Linked DNA regions of Rhinolophus ferrumequinum. The protein of the gene in region 1 purifies or fractionates together with the protein of each later gene. This does not show direct contact. Links are inferred from orthologs where the notes say so. Each region holds a gene or a part of one and is shown on either strand. Other genes may lie near its edges.

Evidence for each region.
Region 2: the proteins of UTRN (region 1) and MARK2 purify together in Homo sapiens (affinity purification with mass spectrometry; 4 studies listed by BioGRID and IntAct, with this or other methods). This does not show direct contact. The link is inferred for Rhinolophus ferrumequinum from reciprocal best matches to the Homo sapiens genes UTRN and MARK2.
Region 3: the proteins of UTRN (region 1) and DTNB purify together in Homo sapiens (affinity purification with mass spectrometry; 3 studies listed by BioGRID and IntAct, with this or other methods). This does not show direct contact. The link is inferred for Rhinolophus ferrumequinum from reciprocal best matches to the Homo sapiens genes UTRN and DTNB.
Region 4: the proteins of UTRN (region 1) and SNTB2 purify together in Homo sapiens (affinity purification with mass spectrometry; 4 studies listed by BioGRID and IntAct, with this or other methods). This does not show direct contact. The link is inferred for Rhinolophus ferrumequinum from reciprocal best matches to the Homo sapiens genes UTRN and SNTB2.

What each region holds. Positions count from the first base shown.
Region 1 is NC_046286.1:88,838,521-88,846,463, reverse strand, and holds the start of UTRN (utrophin), read right to left. Parts: upstream 3,448-7,943; 5' UTR 3,334-3,447; intron 3,320-3,333; exon of another isoform or gene 3,210-3,319; 5' UTR 3,044-3,209; intron 2,519-3,043; exon of another isoform or gene 2,366-2,518; intron 1-2,365.
Region 2 is NC_046294.1:7,483,798-7,492,035, forward strand, and holds the start of MARK2 (serine/threonine-protein kinase MARK2), read right to left. Parts: upstream 3,142-8,238; 5' UTR 3,063-3,141; coding exon 3,009-3,062; intron 1-3,008. UniProt on the Homo sapiens protein: Serine/threonine-protein kinase. Involved in cell polarity and microtubule dynamics regulation. Phosphorylates CRTC2/TORC2, DCX, HDAC7, KIF13B, MAP2, MAP4 and RAB11FIP2. Phosphorylates the microtubule-associated protein MAPT/TAU.
Region 3 is NC_046296.1:54,567,344-54,575,541, reverse strand, and holds the start of DTNB (dystrobrevin beta), read right to left. Parts: upstream 3,410-8,198; 5' UTR 3,391-3,409; intron 2,866-3,390; coding exon of another isoform or gene 2,679-2,865; intron 2,587-2,678; coding exon of another isoform or gene 2,294-2,586; intron 1-2,293. Other genes in the region: protein SSXA1-like, read left to right, coding at 2,294-2,586, 2,679-2,865.
Region 4 is NC_046298.1:18,363,747-18,371,334, forward strand, and holds the start of SNTB2 (beta-2-syntrophin), read left to right. Parts: upstream 1-4,277; 5' UTR 4,278-4,298; coding exon 4,299-4,878; intron 4,879-7,588. UniProt on the Homo sapiens protein: Adapter protein that binds to and probably organizes the subcellular localization of a variety of membrane proteins. May link various receptors to the actin cytoskeleton and the dystrophin glycoprotein complex.

The DNA.
Region 1 (7,943 bases):
TATTTTATATTTCATTTTGTATATTTATGCAATATTCAGTATTTTATGTTTTCTGATATATAATATTCAAGGAAACACCATATGTTATTTTACAATAATACAAATATACGTAATACATAATTATTATTATATTATTTTCCTGATCGTCATAAAAAGGGTGTGTTCTAATTAAAAAAGGTCAAAATTACCTCAGAAAAAGATTTTAAGTGTTAAAGAGTTTGAGGCAGATGAAAACTGTGGCAGATTTATAAAACTTCAGGAATAATTTCCTCTACAGTAGGGAGGAATATATGGATTAGATTATCTGTCTGCCAAATTTTATGACTATAAAAAACTTTTTCATGTTTTATATTGCTCTATTACTGTTAAGACTTTAGGGATTATTATGTGATTAAGTTCCCTTTTTGGGGTACATACTTGTAAAATATTTACTGAATTCTTAATTGCATTTTATTATATTCAAAAACCAAACAACTTTGTTCAGAAGAATGCATGTAACATTTTAATATGGAAAATCAGGTTTACCCAGCAAAATTCTCTTTACTGGCACACAACTATTCTCTTTGACAGATACTTCTAATGCTCTCCTTCATAACTGGTCTTAGCCAAAAGTCTTCACTTCAAAGTGAAGATTTTTCCCACTCCATAAAAAAACTAAACTGTTTACACAGGAATTTATTCCATTTGCACATTAATATTTCTTCATTATATTTTATTTTGCCGCTCTCCTTAAGATAACTTCTCAAATTTTCTCTTCTTGATAATCAAAATCCCTTATACTACAATAATGCAGCAGAAAGGGACGTCAGAGGACAAGAACAGAATGGGAAGGAGGGAGAAGACCATTTAAACCGTGATAGCCACAGACTGCCACTTGTTGCATGAATGGCTGGGGACTCCAGGTTGAGTAACATATGACAAAAAACATATTACACCTCCTTCTAAATCGCTAAATGCAGCAGCGATTTATAAAGGGCTGTCAGGAGAAAGAATCAAAGTTTAGTCACTAACAACATACTGGGGTGTCCCTACACTTTCACATCTATGAAACGCAGGGAAGGCCATCTTCCACACACAGCCAGGTAAGAAACAGAATAAATGAATGGGACGTTGCTTTCGAAGCTTTAAGCCCTTTACAATTGTAACTTACTGTTACCACTACTCTAGGGTTCTGTGCCAAAGTTTAGCCAGATCTTTCTCACAGAAACCAATACATTCAACTCTACGTTCACCAACATTTTCTTCAGAACATTTCTGGCTGTCATGAGGACCTGAAGCCATGAGTGTGTGGCAATAAACCAAATTGGACGCGAGAGGATGGCCTTAAAAGGAAAGCTCAAGTTTTTGCCTTTAAAATAATATAGGAATTATACAATGCCACACAAATATGTTCAACAATATACAATTACGATGCAAATGCAATGCTGGTCCTTGGGCAAAACCTAGCTAGAGATACGTAGTGGAAAGGGAAGCCAAAGGGGCAAGAGTTTGCTGCTCTGCTGGAAACACAGTAAAAGACACCCAGTGCCAAGAGCTGCCATTCACTCTGACGAGCTCCCAGGGAAGGTGAATACTACAGTGATTAATACTGTTTACAGGGGCAATAAATTGTATGTAAATACCCAAAGGAGAATTAAAGAGCGGTCTCATCCCATAAGTGCATGGGTCTCGTCCCATAAGTGCAGGTCGAGGGGTTAGGGAATGACTCCGCGTAAACCTCGGCCCTCGCCGCCTGTTACCCTGGAGGCTGAAGCACCCAGGAGCTACGCATTCCTCTGGCTCTCGCCTGGCCCGCAGCGCTATCCGCGGGGCTGCGTCCCTCACGCCCACCAGCAACCAGCCTGGAGGGGCCAACCCGACTTCCTGAGGCCTGTGTAAGTTCCAAAGCAATGGATGCGAGTCCTGCCGCAGGTCCCAGAACCCGCGACCTCCTACCCGGACCTGGGAAGTCCGGGCTCCCCGCGAACTCTGTGCGCTCCGGTCGCGGCAACCGGTGCACGGACTCTCCCAAGCGCGACACGGGGAACTGACCCGCGAAGCCCTGGTGACCCAGGTGACCTGGAGGCTGGGAAAGAGGAAGCTCACCCCGGGACATGCCAGAAAGCGGAGCCGTTAGACCCAGGTTAGACCCAGAGTTCTCCAGTTCAGTGTAAAACAAATTGCAGGTCCCCTGGCTCTGAAAGGTCGGGCACGTTTTCTCCTTCCCTAGAACAACTCCCTTTCCGGAGCTTGGGGGAACGTCTCTTTTAACAGCAGCCTTCTAAAAGTTGCACAACCTAAAATTCGTGCTTTGTTGGTTTTGTAAGTGGCCTTGGGCAAGCAGAGCCTCGGACCTGGGGCCAAAGGTGGGCATGAATTACCTTACCAGTTGCAGTAAGAGATGCCAAGCGTCCGGAAAACCAGAAGAAGCGGCTGCACTGGACCACGCACGGACTAGGCTCCCGCGTCCCCTTACCGGAGCCCCACCCTCCCGAGCTGCAATGGCCCGGAGGTCGAACACGTTTCCTGCCAGGAGGACGGCTGGGAACTGCTCCCCTGCCCGTCCACCACGGCCACCCTTACCCCACCCTCTCTTAGCGGACACCTCTAGTCCCGCCTTCCGAAGCTGGGGCGTGTGTGACAGGCCCTCCTGGGAAGCCACGTCCCCCCTTGGAGATCACTGGCCCAGCGCCCCTCACTGCGCGAGGCACAGATGCGCGACTCTCACACCCCGGCGGGGAGGAAGATCGGGGGAAGCCATAGGGTGGCCCCCAACCAGTCAGAGGAGTTTGGAGCCTTCGCAACTACACGGATTCCTAGAAACCCCTCCTCTTTCCTCGTTGCTGGCATTCTCTCGCGCGCCTGGGGGAGCTGAACTCAGGTTCTGAGGAAAGTGCCCGCAAAAGTTGATCACATCTTAGACACATTCTTGCGAAGGAGGTCGAGACTTTGATCCTGGGCTCAGGACCGCAGAGAAGTCCATCCTCGCCGCAGTCCACGCCCCGTTTCCCCGGGGTTGTGGTCACATTCCCCAGCCCGGGGCTTCAATAATGCATGGACTTACCTGCTCCCGTGACCCGCGGGCCCGCCTCGCCTGCCTGCCGCCGCCGCCGCCGCGTCCCCAGCGGCCAAGGGCTGGTCTGGGTGTGTTTGGGTCGTAGTTACCGCGGGGGGGCTGTGCGAGCGTGAGTTCTGTGGTGCGACGTTCTTTAAAAATGAAATGTGGAGACCTAGACAAGGTCCGAAAGAAAAAAGGAAATTTTTTTTTTTGACACCCGATTCAAAATGCCTCTGACTTGTGCAATCCTCCTGTCCGGTAGTTCCGCCAAAAACAAAACAGTCCCAAGTGCAAACCTGGAACAGGCGCGCAGGCACCAAGTTTGCCAAACACTAGTTTTCCGTCTGCAGAAATGACCCAAAAGAAGGGGGGCACGGCTCCCGGTGATTCCCCAATCGGCTTCGGGAGCCGGAGGCTCCTCCTCGCCCCTCGGCGGGAGAAAGCCCGCGGCAGGCTGCGGCCGCCCGCTCCCCGCCTCCGAGGCGCGGCGACTCCACAACTTTGTGCGCCCGCCGCTCGCTGGGCCAGCCCCTCCTCCCCGCCCCCCGCGGGCCTGCCCCTTTGTTGGAGCCGAGCGCAGGAGGCAGAGGCGGGGGGGCGCAGCACCGCTCCGAGGCGCGCTGCCGCCCCCCTGGGCACGGGCTCGCGGCCCGCACCCGGGGCCCGCTCTCTCGGGGAAGAGGAGGCCGCGCAGGTCCGGTCCGCCGGCCCGCGCCGCGCCAGCCCCCGTCGCCGTCCCTGCCCCCCAACTTTGTTCCGGGAGATAAGCCCCTCTCGGCTCCCGGTGCGCCCCGGCCCAGCCCAGGAGGCCACCGCCGGCTGGGCTCCGGGAACGTGGCGCTCCGGGTCACCTGACCGAGCGCCCCGTCAATCAGCGCCCGCCCAGCGCTCCCTCCCTGCCCGCGGCAGCCGGCCGGGCTCTCGGCTGGCCTGGGGCTGCCCGCCCGCGCGGCTCCGGGAGTCCGGAGCTAGAAGGGGTGGATGTCTGGCACACACACACACACACACACACAGACACACACAGAGACACACACACGCACACACACACACTCCCTTTATTCAGATTATCCGAAAATGTGAGTCACGTCCCCACTCCAGGCAAAGCGGGTAGTTCGGGTGATTTTTCTTTTTTTCTCCTTTAGAGATAAATTGCCATTTGCTCCTCCACTCACCCCCGTCTCAGTTTGCTGGTGTTGCTGATTTTGGGTCCTAGTTCCAAGGGTATATTTATATAGTTTTCTCGGCGTCGTTTTTAATATTAAGACAAACTTGAAATTTTGTTTCATATTCATTCATACCTAAAAATAGGGTTTGCGCTGACCTTTTCTATTTTTCTAGTATGTACACACACATACATACACCTATTACAGAGCGAGCCTGTCTCAAGTCTGAGGGGTTGGTCAAAAAATACCTGAGAAGAAATGAGTTTGTACTGTGTGTGCGTTTTTTCTTATTTACGTATTTTCCTTGTTTGTGTAATTCCTTTAAGTACAGGAATTCACACTTGGGAGGGGAAAGAAAAAACCGCAACCTAGGTTTCTTGTTCCTATAAACAAAGAGGAAATGGTGATTGATAAGCAAGCTCTGGCTTATTGCTGGTTTAATATCTGAGAGTTAACAATGTATAAGTTAGTAAAGATAAACCACTAGGGGCCTTCAATTAATTTTTCAGAAAGAATTCACCAGCCTTTTACTAGTTGTGAAGTGAAAGCTTCACAGTCCCTAATTGCTTTGGGGGAGGGGGGTTACAATGTCCTGAAAGATACACAATGTTTCTTATAGTCTCTATTTAGCTTCCTTCCTTGAGAGTTTTTCTTCACATAATCCAAATAAAATCCACAGAACTAACTTGAAATAGTTATGATTCATTCCTTCACTTTCATTCGTTCATTCAACAGACACCAATTTGGGGCCTGCCTGGTCCCCTGTCACTGTGAATGATACAAATAAAAATCCGATAGAGATCTTACCTTACAAAACTTCAAATCTAGTAAGATAAGGCACGTAAACAAGGATATGCAAGATCAGCAGTAAGTATCTTAAGAAAATGACTGATCAAGTGCTACTTGAGTCTGGTTGTATCAAGGGAGATTGAGGTTTCCTTTGAACTGATAATTCTGCAGACCCTTAAAGCTGCTTCACCGTGCACTGTATCCTGTTGAGCTGATGGAAATTTAGATTCCCTCCTTTAAAATAAAACCACATTGGAGTGTTTGAGGAGTTCATTAGTTAAAATTATGTAAGTGGAAAGCACTTTGCAAATTGCAAAGTGTTACACAAATATTAATGTACTTAACTGAAAGTTTTTGAAAACCACGGTCATTTGGGGACCTAGAATTTCTGAGTTTGTAAGCTCTAAGGGCGTGTTTAGTTAAGCTTCCCCAAAGGCCGGAAGGAAAGGGTCATTGGGGACAACAGCCACCATCTGTGTGGGAGTGAGTCCACTCCAAGCCCAGCTTCAGTGGCTTATGGTGCGTTACCTAGGGAACTGTGCTCTGTTTCTAGCTCTTCTCCCCTCAGACCCAGACTGATAATCTCTGTAGGCCGTGGGCGAGAGAGAACAAAGAATTTCTGTCGATGGATGGGATGGATGACCAAGAGGTCCCAAGCTAGTCCTACCCCCTGTTTCCTTTGTAAGTGAGGAAACCACATTTAGTGGACAATTTTGACCACAGTGGGCTACGTTTCCATAGAGTAGACTGCGTGACCTTCCTGCCAAGCCTGAGAATTGCATTGGGGGGAAGTGCAGACAGACCACCAGGAGGAGGATAGCTGTTAGTGCACCTGCAACCAGCATTCCACTGCAGTTCACACAGCAGGTGCATGGGCCTGTAATGACAGTGCTCGGTGGGGTTGGGGTTTTGTCTGCCTGCTCCAAAGATCGATTAGAGCATTAGGAGAAAGTGATAGGCCGTGGACCTACCATTAACCCGATCTTTGAATTGCCCAACAGTCACCACAGAACAGTGAAAATTTAAGAAAATTGAACTGCTGTCATTGGTATGGAACCCGTGACCTAAGAGGAAAAACATCATGATATGAGTAATGCATATGTAGATTCATAAATAAAGACATATGCATATGTATGTATATATAATACAGAGAGACATGATTCCGCATAGATATTGTTCATATACAAGGAACTGCATCCTAATATAAGAGCCAAAAATGTGCTTTCTCTACTAAACTTTGTGCGGGGGTATATACATGCGGTTTCTCTATAAACAGCTGAAACATGGGGAAATACATAATGTAAGAAAAGCAAGACACTCATTCAGTTTTACCCTTGGTGTTGACTATGAATAAAGCCCTACATGGAAGCATTTAAGAGAAGGACAAAGGTTAGGAAATTTTCTCTTTCTTACCTCTTTCAGGTAAAGAAACTATAGATCTAGATCTGTGGCTTATGTATATTAAATACTAGAATATTTGCTGAAATTGTTGCGGAATTCTTCAGTCAAACATCTAGTACTAATTCTGCACGTTGAAGACAGATATGAATAAAATCCTTTGTGACACAATTAAGGAAATAATAATGATAATGATGCATGAAACTTTTAGAAAATAATTAGCACAAGGTAGAGTTTCTCACAATGTAGTGAGCTTAAGAATCATCAAGGTGTATATTTTAAATTCAGATTGCCTGCCAGCTGCCAGCATTTCTGATTTACTAGGTCTGGGGGGGCCCAGAAAGCTGCAGTTTTAACAAGCAACTCATGAGGTTGGGTCCGAATGGTTGGAGAACCGCACTTTGAGCCATTGTTTTCCAAGGGCCTCAAATTGGCCACTTTGAATGATTGGAGAGGGGTCTAGAACTGGCCCTTTTCACAGAAAATAAAAATCCATACTGGATCAATCATAATTTCAAAATACCCACCATTAGCCTTATCTCTTTGAATTCAAGTGTTTCATTCAGTTGTGATCACCTTTGAGGTTAGTGAGGGTCATTAACACCTCAGGAGCATCCTGGGCAATTCAACCTGCTCTGAGGGACAAAGCCTGGCCCCAGTCCTGACCAGGTGCTTTGAAGGGACATCTGATGGCAGGAGGGCAGGGAGGCGAGGACTATTGAGGCTGAGGCTATGGGGGCTTAAATTCAGGGTCCAAAGAAGCCTAGGACAAAATAAAAGGACTAAGCTGTTGGGGAGAAAAGAGCAACTGATAAAACAAAAGAGGAGGATAAAGGAGGCTCCGAAAGAGAAGAAAAAGACAAGGAGAGGGAGTGGACGGTGTCTGCCCATCGAGAGCCAGAAAACCTTCTTGAATCAAACAGGTGCCTTGTGTTGGGGGTTATCATACTTGCTGCTTCTACTTGGTTTCACTTACTTTGTAATTTTATAATGTTAGTAGTGGAAACGGTTTTGCAGAGTCTCTCCTTTAAGGCTCTAATTTTGTGGATAAAGAAACAAATGAAAGATGCAAAACAGGCTAGGGAGTGCATTTAGGTAAAATAAAACAATCTGTTGGGGGAAAATGTTCAAATCACTAAGTAAAAAGAGAGTATCCCGGTGTTATATCAGGTCATTGCTAACCAGGAGGAGAAGGAGGAGGGAATGGGGAGGACAGAGATAGTGTAGCTGAAAGAGAACAAGGCTGGATTTAAGTCACCTAAGTGCTAATTATTATACTGACAGTTATTAGCTGTATGATCTTGTAGAACTTGCTTAACCTTTAGCTTCCTGTCTGTAAAACAGAAAGAATACCTCCCTGAAGTGTTGTTGTGAGAGTCAAATGAGTTACTTAATATAAGGCCTTTATCACAGTGCCTGGTACTATTTTTACTTTTATCATGTTCCTTCTCCTTTCTATTAACGCAAGCGGATCTGCTGCCATTTTGTGATCATTTTCATTTGTTATTTCATTGAAAATAGTCTTCAACCTCCTGTTACGATAATAAAAAATAAAT
Region 2 (8,238 bases), on another chromosome or scaffold:
ATGTTTGTGTGTGTTTAGTTCAGATGTGATCAAAGAGCTCCTGGAAACAGCTTCTCATCAGCCACATGTTTTAAAGACTGGAGGAGAGGAAGAGCAAAAGGAGACTGGAGCTTGAAGACAACCAGTGGGGTTTGTTTATCTATTTTCCAGTGACACCAATTTAAATAATTTAAATCTAAATAAGGTGATAGAGGACCTCTGGGGGGGCAGGAATCAGCCCAACCAAATCCCTTGCTTTTCTGCTTTTTGTTTCATAGCATAAAGGCTTGCTGCAATGACTGAGCTTCCAGGACTACTTAGTTAGAATCCCAACAGAAGAGCTGTTTTTGCTCTCTCATCTGAGGGCATGATCAATTCTAAAGGAAGTGATGCTTCCGGCATCCCTGGTCTTGGGACCCAAGGAGATGCTACTTGTCTTTCTTCTTGTTTTTAAACATACAGGCACCTGACTGTAATAGGTGTATCCGAGGTTTCCCAAAGTCCACGCTTTTACTAGGATGAGACTTAATATCAAGTCAATAGTGAGACTGGCTACCATGAGAAGAGCAGAAGCTAGGAAGTGGTTCAGGAGAACTTAAGTTCATCAAGAGCAGAAATGGGATAATTCATAATTTGGAACGGGATGGCACTGCATGCAGCCACGGCTCCGGACAAAGTTATCAAAGAACAGCTTCCACTCCCAAATGGTTCACTGATTCCGGCCATCATAAAACCAGTGGGTGTGTGCCGAGTTCCCACCATGCTCAGCAGTATGCTAGGCATGTAGGGAGAGAAGAAATCAACACGCACATCACTAGAAAAGACCATGGCAAGAATACATTTACATTTAGCAGACAGCACAAAGGAACCACATTGAGGCGGTCTGTTACTCTACTCTGCTCAACACAATGCCCCCCACAGCCTCGCGGGGAGCAGGCATCCACTGCCACTCCCCAAATGCAGCAAGGTGCCAGCCAGTCAGTCCCTTGGCCTCCTCCTACCAGCTCATAATCAGCAGTCTGGGAAAAGTTCTCTGGTTAAGCAGGGTTTACCTGCTAAAACAAAGGTTGTGATAGGAAAAGAAATGGAACAGGCAACCTCAAGAGGGCCTAGAGAAAGTGGTTCTCAGTCAGGAGAGAAACAGCTGGAGAGCGAGGCGCTCCCGTTTGTGAAGCCCTCAGTCCCAGCCCATGCAGAACCAGCACCCAAACCCGGGGACACAATGGAAATCATCCCTCCCTCCCTCTCAACCCCGGCTTCACTTCCAGAAGCAATCAACCCATCAGTAACGAAAGGGTCAACCACTGCACAGAAACACTCAGTCCAGAACTCCTCCTGAGTTCCTGACTGCCCAGGTGACAGAAAGCAAGGGGGGCAGGGGGGAGTAATAAAAAAGGAAAACTTAGGAATGATGGAAAGAGGGAAGATTTTTCAGAGAAGGATGTTAACATGCAAGCGAATATAGCAACAGTTCCATTGGGCTACAAAGATACAAAAGGAACAAGAGGAAAACATAAAGGATATAATGAGGTAAAAGGATGCAAAAAAGCACTGCAGCCCCAGGGGAGAAGGGCTCCTTTCTCAAGTTAAGTTTTTTTGGCCTAGTAAAGTTCTCCACCAAGGAGGGTGTGACAGGCAGGGAACACTCCACAAAGCAGTCAGCAAGGGACACTGGAGATGGTGAAAGAAAGGGGAGGGGTGGAAGGTGGACGTCTCTCAGTTCAGAGGTGAGATGACATAAAAAAGGCTTAGGCTTGGGTGCCAAACCATAGCAGTGATTTGTTAAGATGAGGGGGACTGAGAAGCTCGCATGCAAAATGCCTGGATGGGAAGTTACAAAGACTAGTCAATAGGAAGGGAATGGATAGGGGCATATGGGGGAAAATAAATACGACGTGAAGAAGACGGGAGACTAATATGGAGCTGAGAGGCAATCCTGATTAAGAGGCACAGTAAGGAAGATGGGGTAGAGAAATCAGAAGGGAACAAGCAAGGAGGAAGATACTATGAAAAGTGACAGACCCAGGAGTGGACAGACAAGCAGGCATCATGGTTTGCGTTGCAGTGTAAGAAGACAGGCAAGGAGGGTGATGTAGCGAGACCTGGGAAAGGACCCAGCAACAGGTTGTGATAATGGAGTGGGAAGAAATAGTAGTGTGTTTCCCTTAGTAGGAAAAGCCCAGGGAGAAGGCTGGCAAAGCACTCACAGTGACAAACAGAAGGCCAAGAGACTTAAAAGACAAAGCCAGGGGAAGAGAACATGAAGGATGCAAAGACTGAAGGGAGTGAAGGCTGGAACCCCAAAGACAACCTGTGGGAAAACTATGCGCATGACAGCTGTATGGGAAACACGGAAGCAACAAATGCCAGCGCGAGGCACCAGGGAGCTCCTGTTGAAAAGAAGGGAAAGTGATGAGCAAAGAGTAGGCGAACGATTTGGAAAGGTGATGAGGGTGGAGCTGGTGGGTTGCAAGCAAGAGGGAGAACACAATTTGGAGAAGGAACAAGCAGGGTAAAAAAAGCTGGGGAACTGGAAGGGAACAGAGACCGAGAACACAGTCCGGGGCAAGGACCCTGAGGGTGATGACCAGGGACTGGGAGAACCGGTGCGGGCGGAGGAGAAAAGGGTAAAGAGATGTAAGAAGACGTGGACAACCATCTGGGGCAAATCGCTGGGTACTATTTGAGGAGGAGGGTGGCTGCTTGAAGCGTGGGTGGAGGAAGACCAGAAAGGCCCGAGAGAAAAAGGGAAGAGAAGGGGAAGCTGGGGAGGTAACACGGAAGAGCGCGGGAGGGCGGTAAAGGGAGAAGGGGGGGCCAGCAGAAAGACAAGTGTGCAGCGTGGAGTCAGGACGAGGTGGGTCCTAGGACAGGACTCGGAGGAGGATGTGCGGAGCCGAGAGCCCGATGACAGGGAAGCCGAGGCTTGCAGGATAGCAGCAGGGGCACGAGGAGAGCAGAGAGGGAGGAGGCTCTGCAAGGTGCAGGGGCCCAGCCAGAGAATTCGGGGAGCCATCGGGGCTCCTTACCTGCTCCGTGTCCCTCTCGTTCAGCGTGGGTAGGGGGGTCCGGGCGCTGGACATGGCGCCGGTATCTCAGGGGAGGGAACCGAGAAGCTTGGAGGAAGGGAGGGAAGGGAAGGCGCGGAGCCCGGCCGGGCGGGGTTTCTCACAGCAGGGGCACCCGCCGCATGGGCCCCGGCCGGGGGTGCGGGGAGGCCGGGCAGCCGCTCACGCCAGCCCGGGGATGCGCCGCTCGGGCTAGGCCGCGCCGGCTCCGAGCGGCTCCGGACCGCACCCCCCCGACCCCCGGCTGGGCTGTGCCGCCTTTCGGCCGGGCCGCGCCGCTCCGCCTACTCTCTGCCGCCGCAGCCGGCCGCCTGCCTCGCTCCTCCCCTGCCCTCAGCGGCACTGCTCCGCGCCCGGCACACAGGCAGCCGCCGCCGGACCTGCTGCTCCCAACATGGCCGCCACCACCGCCGGCCCTCGGCTCTTTCCGCCGGCAGCAGCCGGAAATATCCGAAGCGGCCAGGAACGGGAGGGGGCCGCGCCTCCTCCTCCTGGCCACCGACTATGGGTTGAATTCCAGAAACACCCGAAGAAGGTAACCTCCAGGGATGCGCGCGCCTCCTCGATTGTGAAGACCAAGCTTCGGCTCTGTTTTCGGAAATACACGAAGCGACTACGGGTACTCCAGCCCCGCCCACAGGCCTTTCCCCGCCCACTTCAAGCTGGTTCTCGGCAGTTTCCGGAAACACCCGAAGCCGCTCCGCGTGCGGGGAGCCGGCCACGCCCCCGCCCCGCCCAGTCCCGCAGCCGACGGCAATCGTCGGCCATTTCCGGCAACACCCGAGGCCGGGCGAGTCCCGGGTCATTCCCTCGGGTGGTACCGAGTCTGACTTCGTTTCTTTCCGTCAGATTTCGGATATTTTCAAACCTTGAACAGGTAGCGTGTTATTCTTTAACTAAATAGAAAATAAGGCCGTTAGCCGTCCCTGCCATTGGCATCCTTTGGTTCTAAACCAACTTCCCACCTGCGTGTCTGTTCGTTGTCGGTCAGCTCATAAAGTCCATCTCGTTTATCATCCAAACTGTCTATCAAAATGTGTCATCTGTCAAATGTAGCATTACTCTATTACCTGTCCATCTACTATTCATCACTTGCCACCGTCTGTCTTGGCTTCTTGTCAAGCTCCCAGGCAAGCACCAGGGCTGCGCCCGTGGTTCCCAACTGCAAAGGTCTCCTGAGCCCTGCATTCTGGTCCCGGTGTGTGGAACGAAAATGCTGTGTGATCTTGGAAAAATCACATAACGTCATCACATGAGCTTAGGCTCCGAGATGTCCCTGTATTGAACGAGTCAATGCCTTTGTTCCAGTGATGAGATTCTAAATAACAGCTTTTAATTCTAGTTGCCTTTTTTCCCCAAAAAAAGTCTTAATTGTTCAAAATAGCACAAAACAACATCACACCACGGTAATATTGAGTCCTCCCAGGTACTTTTTAAAATATTCTTGCAAACTAAGGCAGGAAAGACGTTCTCATCTTAATTCACATTTGAGTTATCCCTTCTAAGACAAAGAAACTCGTGGAAAACAGACATTGGTTGCCAATGAGAATTCCTCAGGGTGGCACAAAGAATGGGCACCTGGAGAAGTTCCTTTCCTTCCCCGGGACTCAGTTCCCCTAGCAATAAACTGAGGTCTTTGGACTCGTCCGCTCTGAGTTCCCTCTCATCCTTGGAGAGCCTCTGATCCAACAGTCCATTTGGCAACCTGGGTCCAATCTTCACTTCCCCCTAAATTGTCTCAGCAGGGAAAAGCAGTAGGCTGATCTGATTCCTCTGGCTCCAAGCTGTCCCATCCATCTTACTCCAGACATGTTGGAACTTGCCTTCCTGCCCCTGCCCCAGGGCTCAAGTACAGCTTAAGGTGGGCAGAAGCCAGGGTTCCCACAGGAGCCAGAGACCCGGTTCAACCAAGTCCCCAAAGGTACAGGAGCAGAGAGGCCCCAGGGATTGAGGGGAAAAGTGCTGGTTGGACTTCTGACACTTGACTTCTAACTCCCAGCGATAGCATCTTGAGCAGAGAGCCCGTGGCCAAGTGAACCAGAGAAATACAGAGCCGGACAGATGCAATGAGAGGGTGGTATGAAAGTACTTCCTAAGGCAACAGGTACTCTCTACAGTTGTAGTAAATACACTGGACTCCAGAACACCTCCCCATGCCCTGCACCAGCTCCATTCAGGCACTCAGCCATTGAGGAAGAACTTGGTGAAGAATCGCTGAAGGAGGTTAGGGAGATAGGGAGGAAGACGTGAGGACAGAGGCCATTCCACACCCCCCACCCCAAATTAATCCTGAAAATCCATGAGAATGATCTGCCCTCTGGTGGCCAAAGAGAGACACATTGCCGATTCGTGGCGGATCTCACTCCTAAGGCTTAGGTCTGGAAAGAAGGGAAAAGAGGAAGGGGTTGGAGTAGCAAAGGAAGGTGCACTCGGGTCTTCTCCGACCCATGCTCCTGCCTAAAGAAACTCTACCACCTCCCTGCTTCTACTCATTCACATTCTCACCCCAGCCTTCTGCCTCTTAGCCCCACCCCCACCCCACCTGTCTCCTCCTCTTCCTCTCTCCCTCCACACAAGGCTGCCTAACTGGTCTCTCAGCCTAGACTCCCTCCAACCTACCCCACCAGAATAATCTTCCTAAAGTCCAGCTCCAATTACATCTCTGTCTTTCTTGAAGGCTCTCACAGGCTCCCTTGTAGGAGAGGCAGGATTGGCTTCATGAGCCTACTTTTAGAAGGGCCTTGCGCTTGATTTAATGCTCTGCTGTCACTCTCTTGAAATTTTTACCAAAAGGGTCCTGCATCTTCATCGTGCACTGGGTCCCACAAATTTTGTAGCTGCTCCTGGAGGTAGGAAAGCCTTTAGCCTGCATCCAAAGCTTTGCATATCTGGCCTCTACTTATCTTGCTAATATCCTCTCCAGCTAGGTATCACTGGTTGACACCTCCCCCCAGCTCCTGCCCTGCCACCAAGCTCTGCCACCTCCATGCTTTTTGTTCAGGTTGATCAATTAGCCAGCCACCTACCTAGGCTTCCAGGTGTACTTAAAGATCCAGTTCGAGTATCACCTTCTCAAATTCCTGAAACCTCCTAGTTCTCTTCAAAGATTAATTATATGTTGCCACACATTTACCCCTTTCTAATTTACAAATTCATTCATCCACAAATCTCTGTTGAGCACCTACTATGTGCAAGGCCCTGTTCTAGGCTCTTTAGGTATATCAGTGAACAAAATAGACAAAGATCTCCACCCTCGGAGAATTTACATCTCAAGTGGGAAAAACAGACAACAAACAAAATAGTAAGTATTAAATGCCATGGGAAAAATATAGAGGCAGCTATAAGGGGGATCAGAATTGTTGGGGTGTAGGGGTGGAAAAGAAATTGCAGTATTAAGGTGGTCAATATAGGCCTCCCTGAGAAGGTGACATGTGAGCAAAAACTTGAAAGAGGTGAGGGAGTGAGCCCTGCAGATATGGAGGAAGAGCATTCCAGGAAGAGGGTATAGCCAGTGCAAGGGCCCTGAGGCAGGAGCGGGCCTGGCTCATTAAAGAATCAGGCGGCCAATGAGACTGGAGCAGAGTGAGCGAGGGGGAGAGTAGTAGGCGTAGAGGGCAGAAAGGTGATATGGGGCCAGGCCTGGAGGGCCACTGCTGTGGCATTCCCTGAGAGTCAGATAGGGAGTCTCTGCAGTGACGTGATCTGACTGGCTGCTGGGCTGAGAATAGAGTGAAGGAGCAGAAGCCTGGAATCCAGGAAGGAGGCTTTTCCGATAATTCAAGTGTGAGATGACAGTGGCTTGGAGAGGGCAGCAGCAGGGGAAGGGGTCGGATTTGAGTTATATGCAGAAGGTAGAGCCAACAGGATTTTTTGATGGATTAGTTTGGAGGGCTGTGAGAGAGAGGAGTTAAAGATAATTCCAAGCTTTCCAACCTGAACAACTGAAAACAAAACAGAGACAAAAATAAAGGCATCTACCGCAGCTCCAGACCAGGTAGAAAGGAACCAACATGACCAGTGGTCCAGGGCAGCTGTGATGCCCACTGGAACCGTGGAAGGCAGAGCTATGGGATTCCCAGCTCCAGCACAGCGAAGGGGCCTGAGGGTAGCAATCTACCCCACCCCCCCCCCCCACCCACCCTTGTGGGCAGGAAGGGAGGAAAGAAGCAAAGGGAGGCAGGGATGCTGGAGAGAAAGACATCCTTATTCTCTCCCCTCTGAAACATCGAAACTCTTCTCAATCTTTCCCCTCCCAACCAGTGGAGTTGGAGTAATGCTCATGCTGGACAGGCCACTCCAGGGGGTGGGTGAATGGTCCAGAATTGGCCTCTGATCAAGGAGGGCCAAGACCCACTCCTGCCCTCTCACTTGTCAGAGACCTTCCCGTCTCGAGGAGCTTTGCCTTATTTTTTTTTTTGGCATCTCTGAATTTCCATCATGCGCTTTGTCACCATCGCCATATACCGTCTTGAATTTAGAACGTTCCAGAGATGCTAGAGTGCGAAAAAACGTGCATCTTAGAACTGATAGACTAGAATACGTTTGTTATCGGTGTTCCCTCCCCAACCACCACAAGGACAGGAACTGCCGGTCTCATTCCCCTTCCTGGTTTTGCTAACACACGTGCAGTTGCGAGCTGTGTAGACATCATCAGTTACAGTGAGCAGGAGGCAGTTATTACCCCCGGTCTACTGACAAGGAAAGCAAAGAATAGAGACGCTCGGCACTCTGCTAGGGGAGTGGGCATAGGGGAATGAACCCGTGAGAGGCGGGAAGTCGGGCAGTGACAAGGGGCTACCAAACGTTATCCACGGGCCTCCAGCCAGGCTGCCTCTTACTAGCTCCGTGATCTTAGGCGAGCCTCTGAACCTCTGTCCACCTTAATTTTCCCAACTGTCAAATGGGGATAATTTGCAAGGCTATAATGAGTTAATATATGAAACATACTTCGAGTCTGATGGATGGCCAGCGCTCAGTGTGGGCTGCTGTTATTAGCCTACTCTACCCAGCCTCCCAGTCTTCCTTTAAGGCTTTCTGCTATATCCACTCCATTTCCCTGAACAGCAGTGGATCAGAAGTAAGAGAGCCCATTCTGGTCTCAGCTCTGTCCCTAATGGATCACATAAGCCATTAGGTAATTCCCTTCCCCCCTTGGGGCTTCAGGTCCCTTGTCTGTACAATGAGGGGGAGC
Region 3 (8,198 bases), on another chromosome or scaffold:
ACATACCTGAGTCATCAGCAATATATCACACAGAGTTTACTGTGTACTATTATTCATGATTAAATACTGTCTAGCAGAATAATTATAAGACATCATTAAATATACCCTATGAGTCCTAGGCCCTGTCCCAGACCTACTCTTCTGGGGGTGGGGACTAAGAATCTCTGCATTCAGTTCTCCTCCCCAAGGTGATTCCGATTCCTAGTCCTAAGGCCAGTTAACGCTCCCCTGAGCAGTGGCAGGATGATCCCAGGTGCTTGGATTGGGCCAAGTGGCTGGAGCTATGGAATAAAGGGCTGGGGGAGCAGTAAGTCTGAACACTACTCACGCGACGTGATCCCAAGCCAAAATGCCAGCTGCAGCCTAGCTGGTCCTGAGACCCAACAGAAGTTTTACCCTGTGTGGACCAGTGGGCTCTGGCTCTGGGACCCTGAGAGGCCACCATCTGATTCATGCAGGACTAAAAATAGTACATGCCTCAGCACCTTTTTCTTTACATAAGTTTTTCTTTCTTTTTTTTTTTTTTTTTAAAGATAAAGCATGAGTTGAAGTACTTAGTACCAGGATTAGTCTCGAATCAAATAGGTGAGTAGTTTGCTTTTGGCATCCTGTTACAAACCCATCCCAAAGGTACTCATTGCCCTCACATAGCAGTGGGACCCTTCTGTGGGCCCCCTTACCGCCTCCTTAAGGAACACTACATTCTCTGGCACCTTCTTCAACTAAATGACTTCTCCTGTAAAAATCTAAATATGCAACAGGCAAGGAAATGGTATGGCATCTGTGATACTCGTCAATGCAATGAATTAGGCAGTCATTAAAATTATCATAAAGATTGTATAGAAACTTAGGGAAATATTAATAAAAGAATATTAAATAATATGCATTATTAAGTGTAGAAAATATCGACATCATTATGGCTATACAAATATGAAAAACTAAACAATATGCCAAAAAATGAAACTTGTAAGAGTGGTGACCACCTTTGTTTCTTTGAAATTTTTAAAAATGTGTTATAGTGTGACAGTTATTAAAAACTACTCTTCTACTGTCCCTTTTCTTCTCTGAATTATAAGATAATAAGCAATACTCAGGACTGCAACCTTCAGTAACAGAACTGTATATAACTGCTGAGTATTCACTAACCTTGAAAGGTCAAAAAACATTCCCAGTGAAGTCCCCGATAGACCGGCTGGCTGGCAGCTCCAAGCGCAGCCTGTTCTGTTATTGTTTAAACAGCTTGTTAATGGCCTGACACAGAGGCCAGTGAAGATGAGCAGCCCCTGAGCAGCTGCTTAAGCAGCAGGTTGGGAGATGCTCTACTGACAGCAAGAGAAGATGCACTCTGGGCTAAGTGGTGTGAAGGGCTAAAAATCTGGCTTTTTATTGGGACCATTTCTGGTTCAGTTATACTGTGAGTGGCTTCATGCCTCATCCCATACTTCATTCCAGAGCGATAGATTTTCAGCCTCTGCCTGTATGTGGATGGAGGGAGAAGTAAGGCTGAAAGTGCCAATTTCCTTTCACAGCCTGTAAGGTGACGGGAGCTGTGATAACAGCCTATAAACACCCCAGGAGAGAAATGCCAGGGGCCGGCCACTTCTGGGTAGAATTACATAAACAAGTGGTGTTGTTATGCAAGGAAACACAGTCTGAAAAAAAAATATTCTCCTTAATGTCAAGTTTTCCTACAGTGAACTCAGTGAAACAACAGAATCATCTTTCCTTGGGGAAAGAGGGCAGTAGGAGAAAATACCGGTTCTTGAGACTCATAAGAGATTTGGAGGACTCTGTTGGACAGAGAAAGCCAACAAGACATACGCAGGGGAATGCCTGCATACTGGAAGAGGCTTAATACCACAGTGATGTTGGATGCTCTGGGGAAGAGAGTTGCGTGGAGGTGAGACAAGCATCTTTGTCAGAGGGAAACTGTCTGACAAAGATGTAGTCTCATTGTAATGCTTCCCTTTCAGCCTATATCTCCTCCAGCCTCTAGGAATCCTAAGAATATAAATACTCCATCATTGAATGAATTCCACCCATCGGTCTTAAAAATGGTTCCGTAAGGACCCCACTCCTGCCTCAACTTCCCCAGTATTATCCTGACTTGCAGTGGGCCAAATCCACTTCACTAACTATTCCGAGTGGTCGAAGGTCCCTGGGTAACTGAATTGCGGTTATTCATCTCTGCGGGGATCGACCCCTCACTGACACCTCACTTCTGAGGATCTTTGGCCTTGGTTCTGGAGAGACTCGCGCTGTGTCCCTTGGCCATCGCACCATTCCCAGCGCCATGGACAGAGGCAGCTCCTTGGCAAAGAGCCACAGAGAGGATGCCCAGAAATCACAGGAGAAATATGAGGCCTTTGATGATATTTCCAAAAACTTTTCTAAGAAAGAATGGGCAAAGCTGGGAGACTTACAGAAAAGAACCTATGTGTACATGAAGAGAAACTACGACTACATGACTCTTCTAGGTCTCAATACCAACTGCCCATACTTCATGCATTCTCCAAATCAGTCTACAAATGCTCTTGAGAGTGATTCTGACGAAGATCAGAGCCCCAGGAATCAGGATGAAAATCCGCAAGAGGCTTCCGATGTGCAATGGATAGAAGATGAGAAGGAGAAGCCCATGGAGCCGGCAAGGGAAGAAAATGATATGATGCCACTACCAGTAACGCCTGCCTCGGAGCCGGCTCCGAAAAAGCTGTGTACCCAGGAGAAGTGAGTTCCTCTGGTCAGGAGACTGAGAAGATGTCAGGACCCAGCAAAGTGAAGTCTAGTGTCTGGGCCCACAGGCTGCGGGAAAGAAAGAACCGAGTTGTTTGTGAAGAGGTTAGTGACCCCAAGGAAGATGACTAAATCCGGATGTGACACGAGCCCATCACATGAAGAAGAATCTGGTGGCCTTTCATGAACATATGCAAAGCTGTGAACCTCTGGCCATCAGGCCTCAAGCAAGTGAAAGAAAAGTTCACCACCGTGAAACGCTAAGCACGATGCTTCTTACAGTGCGTCTAACATTCCGTCAGGTGTTCGTGTTTCATGGATGACTAACACATATCCCTAAGGTCTATTTCTGCCTATGTGTCCAGGCACTTACCTCAGGAACCAGGTATGTTCAGGTGTCTCTGCACAGAAGAGCACTACTTTCCATCTCCCCCGTGTGACTCCACAGGGCAGTTGTGGGAGACTGATTCCAGACATTTTTTTCTCTGCACTTACGAGCGCACTTCTCTCTCTCTCTCTGTCTCTCTGTCTCTCTCTCTCTGTCTCTCTCCTTCTCTCTCATTCACATACACACACACACACACCCACATCCCGCAAAAACAAACATAAACACAAAGACAGACACTCAGAGACGGTACAACTTTGAACATATCCAACCTGCATTCAGCGTGTAATGGACATGTACCCCTCGTCCTGCTCCTTGTTCGGCAGCTGCTCCGTGGCACAATCCCCTATTGTGATGCTCTGTCTCAGTCGCTGGCAGTTAATAAACACAATTTTTGCCAGAAAAAAAAAAAATGGTTCCGTAAAATGGAGGCGATTAACTAAACAAAAAGTTGCTGGCTCACAGATAAAACTTGAAACAGGGATACACTGAAATGAAAATTTCACATGTAGTCTTAAGATTATAAAGTCTGTTAAGGCTTCTTCCTCCTACACACAGCATCTGTGATTTAGTAACTGACAGGAGATATGCAATGGAATCAAGCTTTGCCCTGTTAGCACCATGGTAAGACACAACCTAGGCATGAACAACTAACAGAAAAGAAAGGAAGTTAATACACAGCGTACACTCTCTTTAAAAATACCATCATCCTTAATTCATGGCTGCTAGTTTATTAAATTTTTCAGTAAATTACCCTTACTCATTAAAGGTGAGGAACCTATTTTATACATTCTTTTTATCTTCAAAACTTCAGTAACTAATACCTACATAGCAAATTCAAGTCAAGCCTTAACATAAAATAATTTTTAAAGAAAATTTAGCACAACATACCAAAATTTATGGGATGCAGCTAATGCAGTGCATAGAGGGCAACTTATAGTTGCTTATAGGTCAGAAAAATAGGCAAGAAAATGAAAGATAAGACTTGCAGATTGGAAAAGAACTAAAGAGAATTTAAATTTTAATTAAATATAAGTGTTACAGGTTGAATTGTGTCCTCCAAAAAGATATTTTGAAGTCCTAACCTCCAGACCTAAGAATGTGACCTTATTTGGAAATAGGGAAGTTGTAGATGTAATTAGTTAAGATGAGGTCATACTGGAGTAGGATAGGTCCTTAATTCAATATGGCTATGTCCTTAGAAGAAGAGAAAACAGAGACAAACAGGGAGGAGACCATGTGACAATGGAGTTGAGACTGGAGTGACACTCTTCTAAGCCAAGGAAGGCCAAGCATTGGTGAGACAGAAGCTAAGAGAAAGGCATGGAACATATTTTCACCTATAGCCTTGGGAGAGTATGGCTCTGCCAACACCTTGATTTCTAGACTTCTAGCTTCTAGAACTGTGAGAGAATAAATATCTGTTGTTTCAAGCCCCTAGTTTGTTGTAATTTGTTACAGTACCCCTAGGATACTAATACAATAAGTAAATACCTTCTTCCATTAAGCTGAAATAAAGGGACTGTTAAGACAGGGGATTGTAATGGTGGCACTAAATCTTCTATTTTGAGATTTGGATCTCTGGTATAATTTGATTTAACAACTGTAATGTAGCTTAGGACTTTCTGAAAGCTTTCTTTTCTTTGCCTCTTAATGATTCCTGCTTCCTGTACATTTACTATGCAGTGTCAATGTTTCTATTCAGCCCAGTGCTGGCCCAGTGACTTGGGAGAGGTTTTGCATCTGTATGGGATCCCCTCTCCTGGCTCCAATTTAAATCTACATAACTTATGCAAAGGTTGCAATAATCAGCTTAACTGAATCTTCTCCCACCCCAATGGACAAAGCAGACATCAACAGAAAATTCCAGTATAGGCCAAAGCAATTTACATCCTGGTTAGAAAATATAAAACTTGAGATCAAAGACTCGATGCAGTAGTTTGCAGTAGTTTCCAGCAGACTCTGCCCAGTCGACTTTTCTCTTACTTTAATAAATCTTCCTTCTATATTTCTACCTGACTCGTGAATTCCTTCACGGCCTGCAAGCAAGCAGACACAACAGAGGTCCCAAGAAAGAAAGGTGGGAATCTCCTGGTTGGCAGAAAGACACCCAAGCTACGTGCCACAACCCTATCCCTTCTTTGGTCAGGTAGACCTCGTCTTTGTATATGGCCAAGGCCTGTGGCTACAGGGCCACTGACACCAAGTTAAGAAAAGTAATTGGACTCTTATGGACTCTCTGACCTACCACATCATGGCAGACTCTGTTTGGGTGTTCCCCCATTTCTTCCTCAACAAACAGAGGCTCAGTTGTCAGAGAAGATAACCCTATTTCCAACTCAGGGAGAAGCCTGATTAGTCTTCTCCAGTAATCCTATTGTTTTCACCAGTGACTGGTTTAGAGATGGGCAAGTGAGAGGAACTCTGCTGGAGAGCTTTCTGCAAATGGTCTTCTCACTCTTATTGGAGGATTCCTCTTTTCCTCTGCACATTGTTATAGCTCACCATGAAGTTGGGACTATAGCAAGCTTCGCATGACCAGGAGGAAGGCCAAGGTCAAAGGTGAAATGTTGAGGATGGACAAGCATACAAGTAACGTATTTCCCCGAAAATAAGACCGGGTCTTATATTAATCTTTGCTCCAAAAGACACATTAGGATGTATTTTCAGGGGATGTCTTATTTTTTCATGTATAACAATCTACATTTATTCAAATACAATCACGTCATCTTCTTCTGGAACATTGTCATAACGTACTAAATGTGTCCATCTGGCTGACGATCTTAACTGGGGCTTATTTTCGCGGTAGGTCTTATCACCAGGGAAACATGGTAGGAAGACCGGTTAGAAGATTTTGCAGGTGAGAGATGAGGGTGTCGTGGCCAGAGTGGTGACTGTGGAGGTGGGGAGAACTTGCTGGATTCGGGGTGTATTTTGAAGATAGTGCCCAGAGGACTTGGAGACTGGCTGTAGAGTATGAAAGAAAAAGATGAGTCAGGGAAGACTCAAACATTTTTAGCTTGAGTACATGGAAGGGTGGTGTTGCCATTTTCTGAGATGGGAAAGGCAATGGAAGGAACAGCTTTCGGCAGGAGCAGGAGTTCAGCTTTAAGCTAAGTTTAAGTTAAGTTCGAGGTGCCACATCCAAGCGGAGAAGTTGAATAGGCAGCTAGATATGTTTGGAGTACAGGAGAGAGGTCCACGCTGGAGCTCTGAATATGAGTTGCCAGCATACAGATAGTTATAAAGACTCGAGACTAAATGAAATCACTTACAGAGCGAGTAGAGAAAAGAGACTTGAGGCCTCAGCCCTGAGGCAACACATAGGCTGAGAAGGAGAGACCCAGTGGATAAAAAGAGAAATAACCCCCAACAAATACATAAGAAAAAACACAAACACACCAACATGTAAGGTCAACATTCAATTTTTGACTCAATCACTGTTAATCATAATAATAGCTTACTATATGCCAGGCTCTTTGCTAGGGTCTATGTTATCTAATTTAACCTCGTAAAATTGTATTCGCAATTGAAAAATACCAAGGAAACTCCCAGGTATCCTTACACAAACCAAAATAAATAAAAATGGAACTCTTTAGATGGGGCTATGGGAAAATCGATGCCCTGAAGTGTGGCTGGCGGCACTTAAGCTGGAGTGGAAGCTGGCAGCAATGTAACAAGGGCTCTGAACTCAGCACAGCTTTTGACCTTATATAAGGAGGAAAAAAGTCACTATCAATAAGCATAAAACTCTGGAAATGACCCAAGTCATTGTGAAACAGGCTATGATACATTACCATGAAAGAATGGCCATTTAAGCACCAAAAATGACAAGTATGTGGGTTGTGTTCATACAGGTAAAGTGATTTGTCTTAGTGATGGCTTCCTTTTGAGAACAGAATTCCAGCCAATTAGCTTAAATACAGGAAATTTTATTATGAGAATACAGAGGTATCTGAGGGCTCCCAAGAGCAACAGACAGACTCGAGGCTCTCGAAGGACTGGGACGTGGGCCTGGAAAGTCACGAGGGACCAGGAAACGCATCTGGAGGGTAACAATAATCGTCTCCTTCACCAAACTCTAGTCCGGCTCCTCTGAGCCCTTCCTCAACTAGGCCTCAATCCTGGCCTAGCAAGACTTGAACAAACACTGACATAGTTTCTAAGGGCTCAAGGCCACCTCCTTGGGATGACCCTATAAAGCCCCTGCCTGAGAAAGCTCAAGGCTGCCCAAGGAATCTACTGTTTGCTCCAGCAAACACCTGAAGGATCCCTGGTTCCCCGTCTCTGTGGGAGGGTAGGAGACCAACTTTGATAAGTTAGTTTTCTAACTTTGTGAGTTAGTTTTACACTTTGATAAGTTTTCGGACAAAAGCCAGGAAAGTTGAAGTGATACATACAAGAGACATTTATCAAATTCCTTTTGTTTTCCTGTAAAATTTCTTGTACCATAATTTTAAAAATACATTTCTGAAGAGTTAGATAGTGGTATAAAGGGAGAAATGTTAAACTATCATTGGCCTGTATGTGAACAGGAATTAAACCCAAATGGTAGAGTTGGAATAGTCAGAAGAACTCAAAGACGGCTGGTTGGCAGCTAATTTCAGGCTAGTAATTCTATATTTAGAGGGAAATTGTCCCTTATCACACATTACCAATTTTTGGTTCCCACAGTCCTTTGTGAAGGACTCCTAGCTAGCTTTCTCCATGAAGCTCAGTGTTTGTTATTTTCTTAATGGAACCACAGGAGGGCCAAGACTCCTGTAAGGTAATAAACAGGAATGGGGATGAGGGAGTGCAGGCCCCTAAACAAGGCATTTTCACGCATTTCCTCCTCTGCCTGGAACATGTATTCCTTCTTCTCCGTGAAATTCCTGTACATCCTTCAAAGCCCAGATCAGATGATATTTCCTATATGGAGCCACCTCTAAACTGCTAGTCAGATTTAATACCTGCCCTGAGTTCCTATGGTCCATTTGATCCTGCTATTAGAGAATTTATCTATTGTTTTATAATTAATTGTGTGCACATCTGTCTTTCTTCAAGGTGAGGGAATATGCTTAGCTATCTTTGGCTCTTA
Region 4 (7,588 bases), on another chromosome or scaffold:
GTGCACTTGTCTGAGGTGTGTCCATAACATTCAGCTGATTCTGAAAGGGGTCCGTGATCCCAGCAATTGGCTATTCCATTAACTGACTCAGCAGGAAGTTAAAGCTGTGGGACGAAGGCCTAGAAATATCATATGCATCAATAAACATGATTTGGTGTTCGATGGTATATGAAAAATCAGAGTTGAAGCTGACTATAAGATTGCAAGTCTTACGAGGTACTGGAAATTGTTAGAACTGATATTGGGGGTGAGGAAGTTTTTATTTTGGGATCTCATTTGAATTTCATGGCAAATTATGTAATTTCCATGATTGTCAATAAAAAACACTGGTAATTTTCCATAACTAAGTGGATTCCATGAAACTAACCTTCTGCTTAGTGTGTCCTTGCTAATATTTTCCTAAAAAGAAAGTCACAGAGCTACAAAACTGTCACCAGCTGCTTCTCATTAGTAATGTGGTTAGCAGATGTGGGTTTTTATAGTCATAAAGCATGAGATAGTTAATCCATTTTTGTGGGTTTCAAATGGATAGTGATTTATCTTGGCGGGATGAATTTTAAAATGTGCTTGCATCAGCTAAAGGATATATGCATCTTTCCCTCTTTTCGCTTCATATTTGTGCTGGAGAAAAACATTTTAGGATATTTCTGGAAGGCAGAGGAGTACTGCCTGTTGAAAAGGACAATTGATCTCACTGTCTTCTAACTGGGGAAGAGTTATGCATGCATAATTTTTCAAAGTTGGATGTTGAATTTGTTATCTTACAAACTTCTCTCTTCGGCCTCTTCTTTGGTAGTAATTGAGTGGCTCTTGCTTTTGTTTCTCTGGCATTAGGCCACCTTTGTGGTAGTGACCTTCAGGCTTGCTAAGGGCTGCAATTTTGCCTGGGGCCCTCCTTCCTTATGAAATTACACAACACTCAGACCTTGGACCAAGCCCCAGATCTACTAATTCTTTCCTTTGACAGACTCTTGGCAATATGTACTCCCTTTCAGCCAAAGTGTAGTTTTATGCAAGATCTGTTTGTCACTGAAATTAATTTGGCCATTTGCCCTTTAAGCCTGGAATCAAATGGTATCATGGTAGACCCATTCCTAGATAAAGTATAGACTCTCAGTTTCTACCAAAGGTTTTACTATTGATGCTGAAGCTGAAGATCAACAGGTAATAATAACAGCAGCAGCTACGTTTTTATAGGCAGTGCTGCTACGTGCTTTGCACGTCATCCCAGTCAGCCACCTTTAGAGGTAGAACATACCTGAATATTTTTCCAAAGGAGAAACTAAGGCCGATGTCCTCAGCCCCTTGACCATTGTCATATCCTAGTAAGTGGCCAAACTGCAATTTGAACCTTGTGCTCTTAGTTGCCATGCTAAATTATGCATCGACTATGAGAGAAAAGGACAAAAAACATTGGGTTTTGAGAGGGCTTAGAATCAGAGCCTGAGTCGTAGAATTGTAGGAAATTATGGAACTGAAGCTAGCTAATCTAACCCCCTCATTTTAAAGCAACAAAGATCCCTGCCTTGTTCTGAGAAAAAGTAAGATAACAGTTTGAACAGAGGAGAACCCATATTGATAGATGGCAGGATTGGAAGGTTATTGGGAATTATCTCAACCATTTCCTTTTTAGAGGTAGATAAAATAACAGTCCTGTTCAAAAATTTTCTAAGCTTTTCTCACCGTCCTTAAAGAGGCCATGTGTACTCTTTATTTCAGATTTCATTATCCACCATAAATAGATTTCCACTGACTACTTGAGATTTCCTTGATGGTAATTTTCACTCTGCAAGGAACCAGTAACCTTCAGAGGGATTATTTGAAATGACTACTGCGCAGGAGGCACTGAATTTCAATCAATCACATGTTTTATGAGTTCCTTTTCTACAAGGCAATATTTTTGGAATAATGGGGAATAAATAGAAGTCGGTGGGTGGTCCTGCCCTTTTGTATTTTAACATCTGTTTGGACAAACCAGCCAGGCATAAAATTGTTCAAAGCAAAAACCCCAACAGATTGGGTAGATAAGGAAAACTGGGATGAGATCTTACTAGGTGGGAAGGTGGCTGAAAGGGGCAGAAGGTGTTTGGAAGGATGGACTCAGGTGGGAATTTGCAAGGCATCATTGGGAGACACTGGATGAGTCTGGCTGATCTAAAAGTAGTGATGAAAGAGATTGTTGAAAATTAATTTAGGTTCTGATGGAGAACCTTGTAAAAACATCTTGATAGTTTGGGAATTTTTTATGGATATATTTAAAAATAAGTGAAAACCTCCAAGTAATCCAAATACCAATCTTCATTACCTTCTCTCTTTCCAGGGTTAAATATTTTGTTACATAACTATTGTCTTATATAAGTGCCTTCATTTATTATTTGGTTAGAAGATCTACGATTTCCTCCAACTCTATTGACCTAAAGGTCTTGATACTTTTGGAAAGAATTTCCAGCATTTCCCTTTTGCTAATAAAGGTATCCTCAAGTGCCCAACCTCTGGGTGGTTACATATATAAAAGTGTTCAAAATAGTGCTCAGACCCCAAGGACTCAGCTGCCAAGTGGTCTGTAAAAAGCAGAAATGTCACATAACTCAGGCCTCGGGGGGCTCACACCTCAGCTGGAGCAAAGCCAGAAATGTCTATGACTATAGGGTCACTTTGGCACATCAGGACCTGCCAGAACAGCAAGCTGGCCTCACTGCAGTCGATTTAGGAGAGGGCTGGAGGACTGAGCTTCTGCTGATGTTTGCAGTTTGGAAAATCCTGCTCCACTAATTGCAAAGAGGATTCTGCTGTAATGATATTTTCGGTGAGATACTTTTCACATTTTGAATTTTCTTCATTTGGGCTCTGGGTGCTTTCCAGTCTCTCTTTATTGTTTTAACTCCTGGTATCGGAAGTTTTGCCCATACACGGATATGCATTTACAGAGTGGTGCATGGACATGGCTTACGAGCTTCAACATGTACTTCATGAGCAAGCAAGTATACAGCCCCTTTTACAGGAATTGGTGTACACTCCCTCTGCTTGCAGCCCTCCTTCTTTTCCCCCCATAAAAACATGGGGATTTCGCTTTTACTGCTGAAGGAAAGTTAGAGGGCACCTTGATCTCACGTTTTTTGCTGAGATCTTTGAGCAATGTGATTTCTGGACGCTCATTTTTGAGATCTGAGTTATGTTAAAAAAAAAAAAAAAAAAGCACTGGACCAGGAAGCTAGGAGACCTGACTGAGTTTGCTTCCTCATTGTGGACTTGAAGCCAGAGTCTCTGGCTCCCTGGGCCTGTTTCCTCAGTTCTTCCAGCCCATGAAGCTGGGGGAAAAACCTGCTGCAGGCTCTGCAGGTTGCATAGTTTCTGGAGCCACCCATTTGCCCCAACAAAAGGCCACGGCTTCCAGGATAAGAAAAGTCAGATCTGCAAACCCAAGCCCAAACTCTTTGATATTTAATTATATGAGGCTTTTCACACTCATCCTGCTGACTCCACTGATCCTATGCTCTGTTCACATGGGAATCTTGGCATCTTCCTAGGTAACCACCATTCTGCAAATATATTTGAGGCCTACCTATTGTAGTTGCAGGGCTGAAGAAGACACGGTCCCCTCTCTACCTATTACAGGCAAGTAACAGGTGATAACAAAGCAGATTCTTGTCTCTGGACCTTTGCTTATGCCGTTTCCTCTGCTCCCCTATTCACCTTCCATTGTCACCTCTGTGAAGCTGACCCCAGACCTAACTGAAGGTTTCTTCTACTTTGCTCTCAGGGCGTTTTCTATATGTCATCTAACCACATAGTATCACACCAGGTTGGTTGGGTCTTCGCTTTCCTCCCACACTAGACCGCTAACTCTCATTTGTGGTACATGTTACTCAGCTCATTTCTAAGCCTCAAAAGGAACACAGCGGTGGAGCCCTCAGTAAATCCGGAATGAACCAATCAATGCAAGAATGAACGTGCAACCCAGTCTTGCAGGCTTGCAAAGTGCTTCTCGAAGTTGATCTTGCTTTCCGTGCCCAAGGCAGCTCAAGTCAATCGCACGGTACAGGTCAAGAGTTGGGGGGGTGGGGCGTCGGAGGTGAACAGGAGAACGTGAGATGTAGCCCGCCGCCTCCTGTAGCCCACGTCCAGTGAGCCGCAACCGACCGGACTGTGCGAGCAACTCCTTAACCTCCCGGAAGTGGCTCCTTTCCCCGCCCCTCCAGGGATGGGCGTGGTCTCTCATGAATAATGAATCTACAGGGGAGGGGCCGGACCCGCCCCCTCGGGCGGGAAGGGGGAAGCGTTGAGGCTGCCTGACTGGAATGAGGGTAGCTGCGGCGACTGCGGCGGCGGGAGCGGGGCCGGCCATGGCGGTGTGGACGCGGGCCACCAAAGCGGGGCTGGTGGAGCTGCTCCTGAGGGAGCGCTGGGTCCGGGTGGTGGCCGAACTGAGCGGGGAGAGCCTGAGCCTGACGGGCGACGCCGCGGCGGCTGAGGCCGAGCCCGCTTTGGGGCCGGCGGCGGCCGCCTTCAACGGCCTCCCGAACGGCGGCGGCGCCGGCGACTCGCTGCCGGGGAGCCCAAGCCGCGGCCTGGGCCCCCCAAGTCCGCCCGCGCCGCCGCGGGGCCCGGCGAGCGAGGCGGGAGCGTCGCCTCCCGTGCGCCGGGTGCGGGTGGTGAAGCAGGAGGCGGGCGGCCTGGGCATCAGCATCAAGGGTGGCCGCGAGAACCGGATGCCGATCCTCATCTCCAAGATCTTCCCGGGGCTGGCGGCGGACCAGAGCCGGGCACTGCGGCTGGGCGACGCCATCCTGTCGGTCAACGGCACGGACCTGCGCCAGGCCACCCACGACCAGGCCGTGCAGGCGCTGAAGCGTGCGGGCAAGGAGGTGCTGCTGGAGGGTGAGCGGGGCCGGCGGGCGGGCGGGCCGGCGTTCACTTTGTTTCTGCCACCCTGCCCCCTTTGCGGGGCGAGCCCGTTCCCTCCCCCTCCAAGGCCTCGTCTTTCCCTCCTCTGGTGCCCCGGCTCTCCCCAGACCCGGATTGCTGTGGCTTTGAGCATGGAAAAACTGATACTCCTTGCAGGAAAAGTTGGGCAACCGCCGAAGTGTGGGTGGCAGTCCCTAAAGAAGAGTTGGTTGAGATTTAGTAAAAAGCAGCAGCGCTTGAAGCCCCGCCTCTGCACAATAAGCTGATACTAAGAACTAGAGGACTCGAGTTCTGGAGGTCTCCTTTTGCCTCCTTAAAGAAGTGCCGGGTTGGCGCTTTCTTCACTCACCTCTGGCTCCCTTGGGAGGGCGGGTCTGTTAAAAATTCATCCACACCGATGCCAGCGGTATGCTTGGGCAAACCACCAAAACGCTGGTTAATTTATGGGAATTTAACCCATCATTGGCTCTCAACAATAACCAAAGAAAATCTTAGCACTTCCTTGAAGCCAGAAAGCTGAAACAGCAAGTTTGTGTGGTTAATGAGCCTAGTTTAACAGTGGAGGCTCACGTGTTTGAATATTTACTGCCAACTAGAGTTTTGCCCCTTTTGCAAGAGACTGATGCCAGCTTCCTACCATTCGCAGGAGTGCTGCTGCAAGGCTTTAAGCCTTTAGAAACCTGAAGTGTTAAATCGCAAGATATGTTCGAATAACCAGGATCATTATTTACTTAAGCATATATGTGGTCTGTAACCAGGATCTTTTATGGTGAATTTATGGAACTAAGGCTAAATTAAATCTCATCCCCGTGAAGGACTCATGCATTTTGGAGGTGAATTGTATTGTAAAGTGTTGTATTGTAATTGTATTGTATTGAAAGGTATTGTAAATGTGATCTGAAAAGCCCGTTGCTTACTTGAGAAGTTTTTGAGCCATTTGCTTTCTTTCATTGGTGATTCAGTCATTCAAGAAGCATTATTGCTGGCCATATAGAAGAGAATATAAAAGATGATATGTCTGTATTTGGTCTCTAGTTGAGAAAATGATAGAAAGATGTAAAACTTACAAGTTATTGATTAGGTTGTTCAACATATATATAAATGCCAAGGGAATGCAAAGTTAGAAAGTAGTGGAAGTCAGGATTAGTCAGAGAGGACTTTGGAGGAGCTTAATCTTGAGCCAGTTCTCCAAGGAAGTGATGGACATAGGCAGAGATGAGTCAGGAGGGTATTCCTGGCAGAGGAAGAACTGAGGAGGGGTGGGGAGTAGGGGTAGGAAGTGAGCAGTCCTCATACTGAGAGGCCAGAAGTCTAGCTTGGCAAAGTGATTTTCACTTTTTTCAAAATCGCAGTTATAATATTTGGCAAAATATTAATTTGCAAGTAAATGATTTAATGTGATCCAGTTTTGAAATTCCAGTGTCCCACCTTTATAATATCCTATTTATAAACCTTATTTATATCTCACTTATAGATAGGGCTAGACACTGCTCGGAAATCAGTATTAATAAAAGGAGTAAAATTACAGATTGTGGCTCAGGTGGTGTATATGTAAGAAAATGGTTACCTTAAACGTGTACCTTGAAATGGGCTTAGCTAAGCATTTGCTTATAAATTCTTAGAGCCAGAATATTGAATATAGCACTATTTATGTAGTACTTAGTGGTGATGGGTAGACATTTTAACTCTTTACACCATATTTTTAAAACACCCAGTTTTTGTTTAAATATAATTTGAACCTGGTATTCATACCAATTAAATGAAAATCATCCAGTAAATGTTTCCCGGTGTTCATTAGTCTAAAATGGGCCACGTATGCTTTTAGAAGAAGGGTTTACAAACGGCCGCAAAACATTTACTGAATACCTTTTTTCCTAGCACACAGGTTCTACTTTATTTTCCCATTTTGGAAAAAACAAGCAGTTTTTGTCGTTATATGTGGAGGAAAGTATGAAATTGCGCTTTCAAGCCAACGGATATAAAAATAAAATTACTTAGAATAAGCAAAAATCACCGAAAACAGTGATTTAATTGAACCAGTCAAACTATTTAAAATTGAGAGCTGTTGTCCTAACCAGGTAGGCCACTTTTGGAAGATGGATTTTATGCTTAGCTCTTAAAGTTTTGGATCTGTGTTCTCCTTTCATTAGATGTCTCAAAATTTGAAAAACTGCCTTAACGTAGCACGGTGATGCTCTTTTGTGGTGTGGGCAGGGAATGTCAAGCATGCCCTTGCCACCCCCAAGCAAAGGAAAGCTGTAGTCTCTGTTGGCCTGTGGTTAGGGAACTGAGCTAAAGGGTTCTTTTTATCTCATGGATTTATAGGGATTATTTATTCATACATCTAACATTTATCCAACTCTACAATGTACCAGAGACATTCGAAGATACCTACCTCCTGCTCTCAGAGAGTTTGGAGTTGAGATAGGAAATAAGTACAGCAAAGGGCTAAAGCAAAGGACTGTTGTAATAGAACTCTGGAAAGGACACAGCACAAGGGAAGGAGAGATCTATAGGTGACCCTATTAGGGATCAGAGGTTGAGGATGCCCAGGAAAAGGTTGAGGGAGAAATTGAAGCTTGAATGGAGCCTTCCCTTTAGAAGAGAAAGCTGCTACCAGTAAAGACACACAAGGGAGGGACATTAAGATGGTATTTCTGCCCCGTAAGGGTAGAGTACAAAT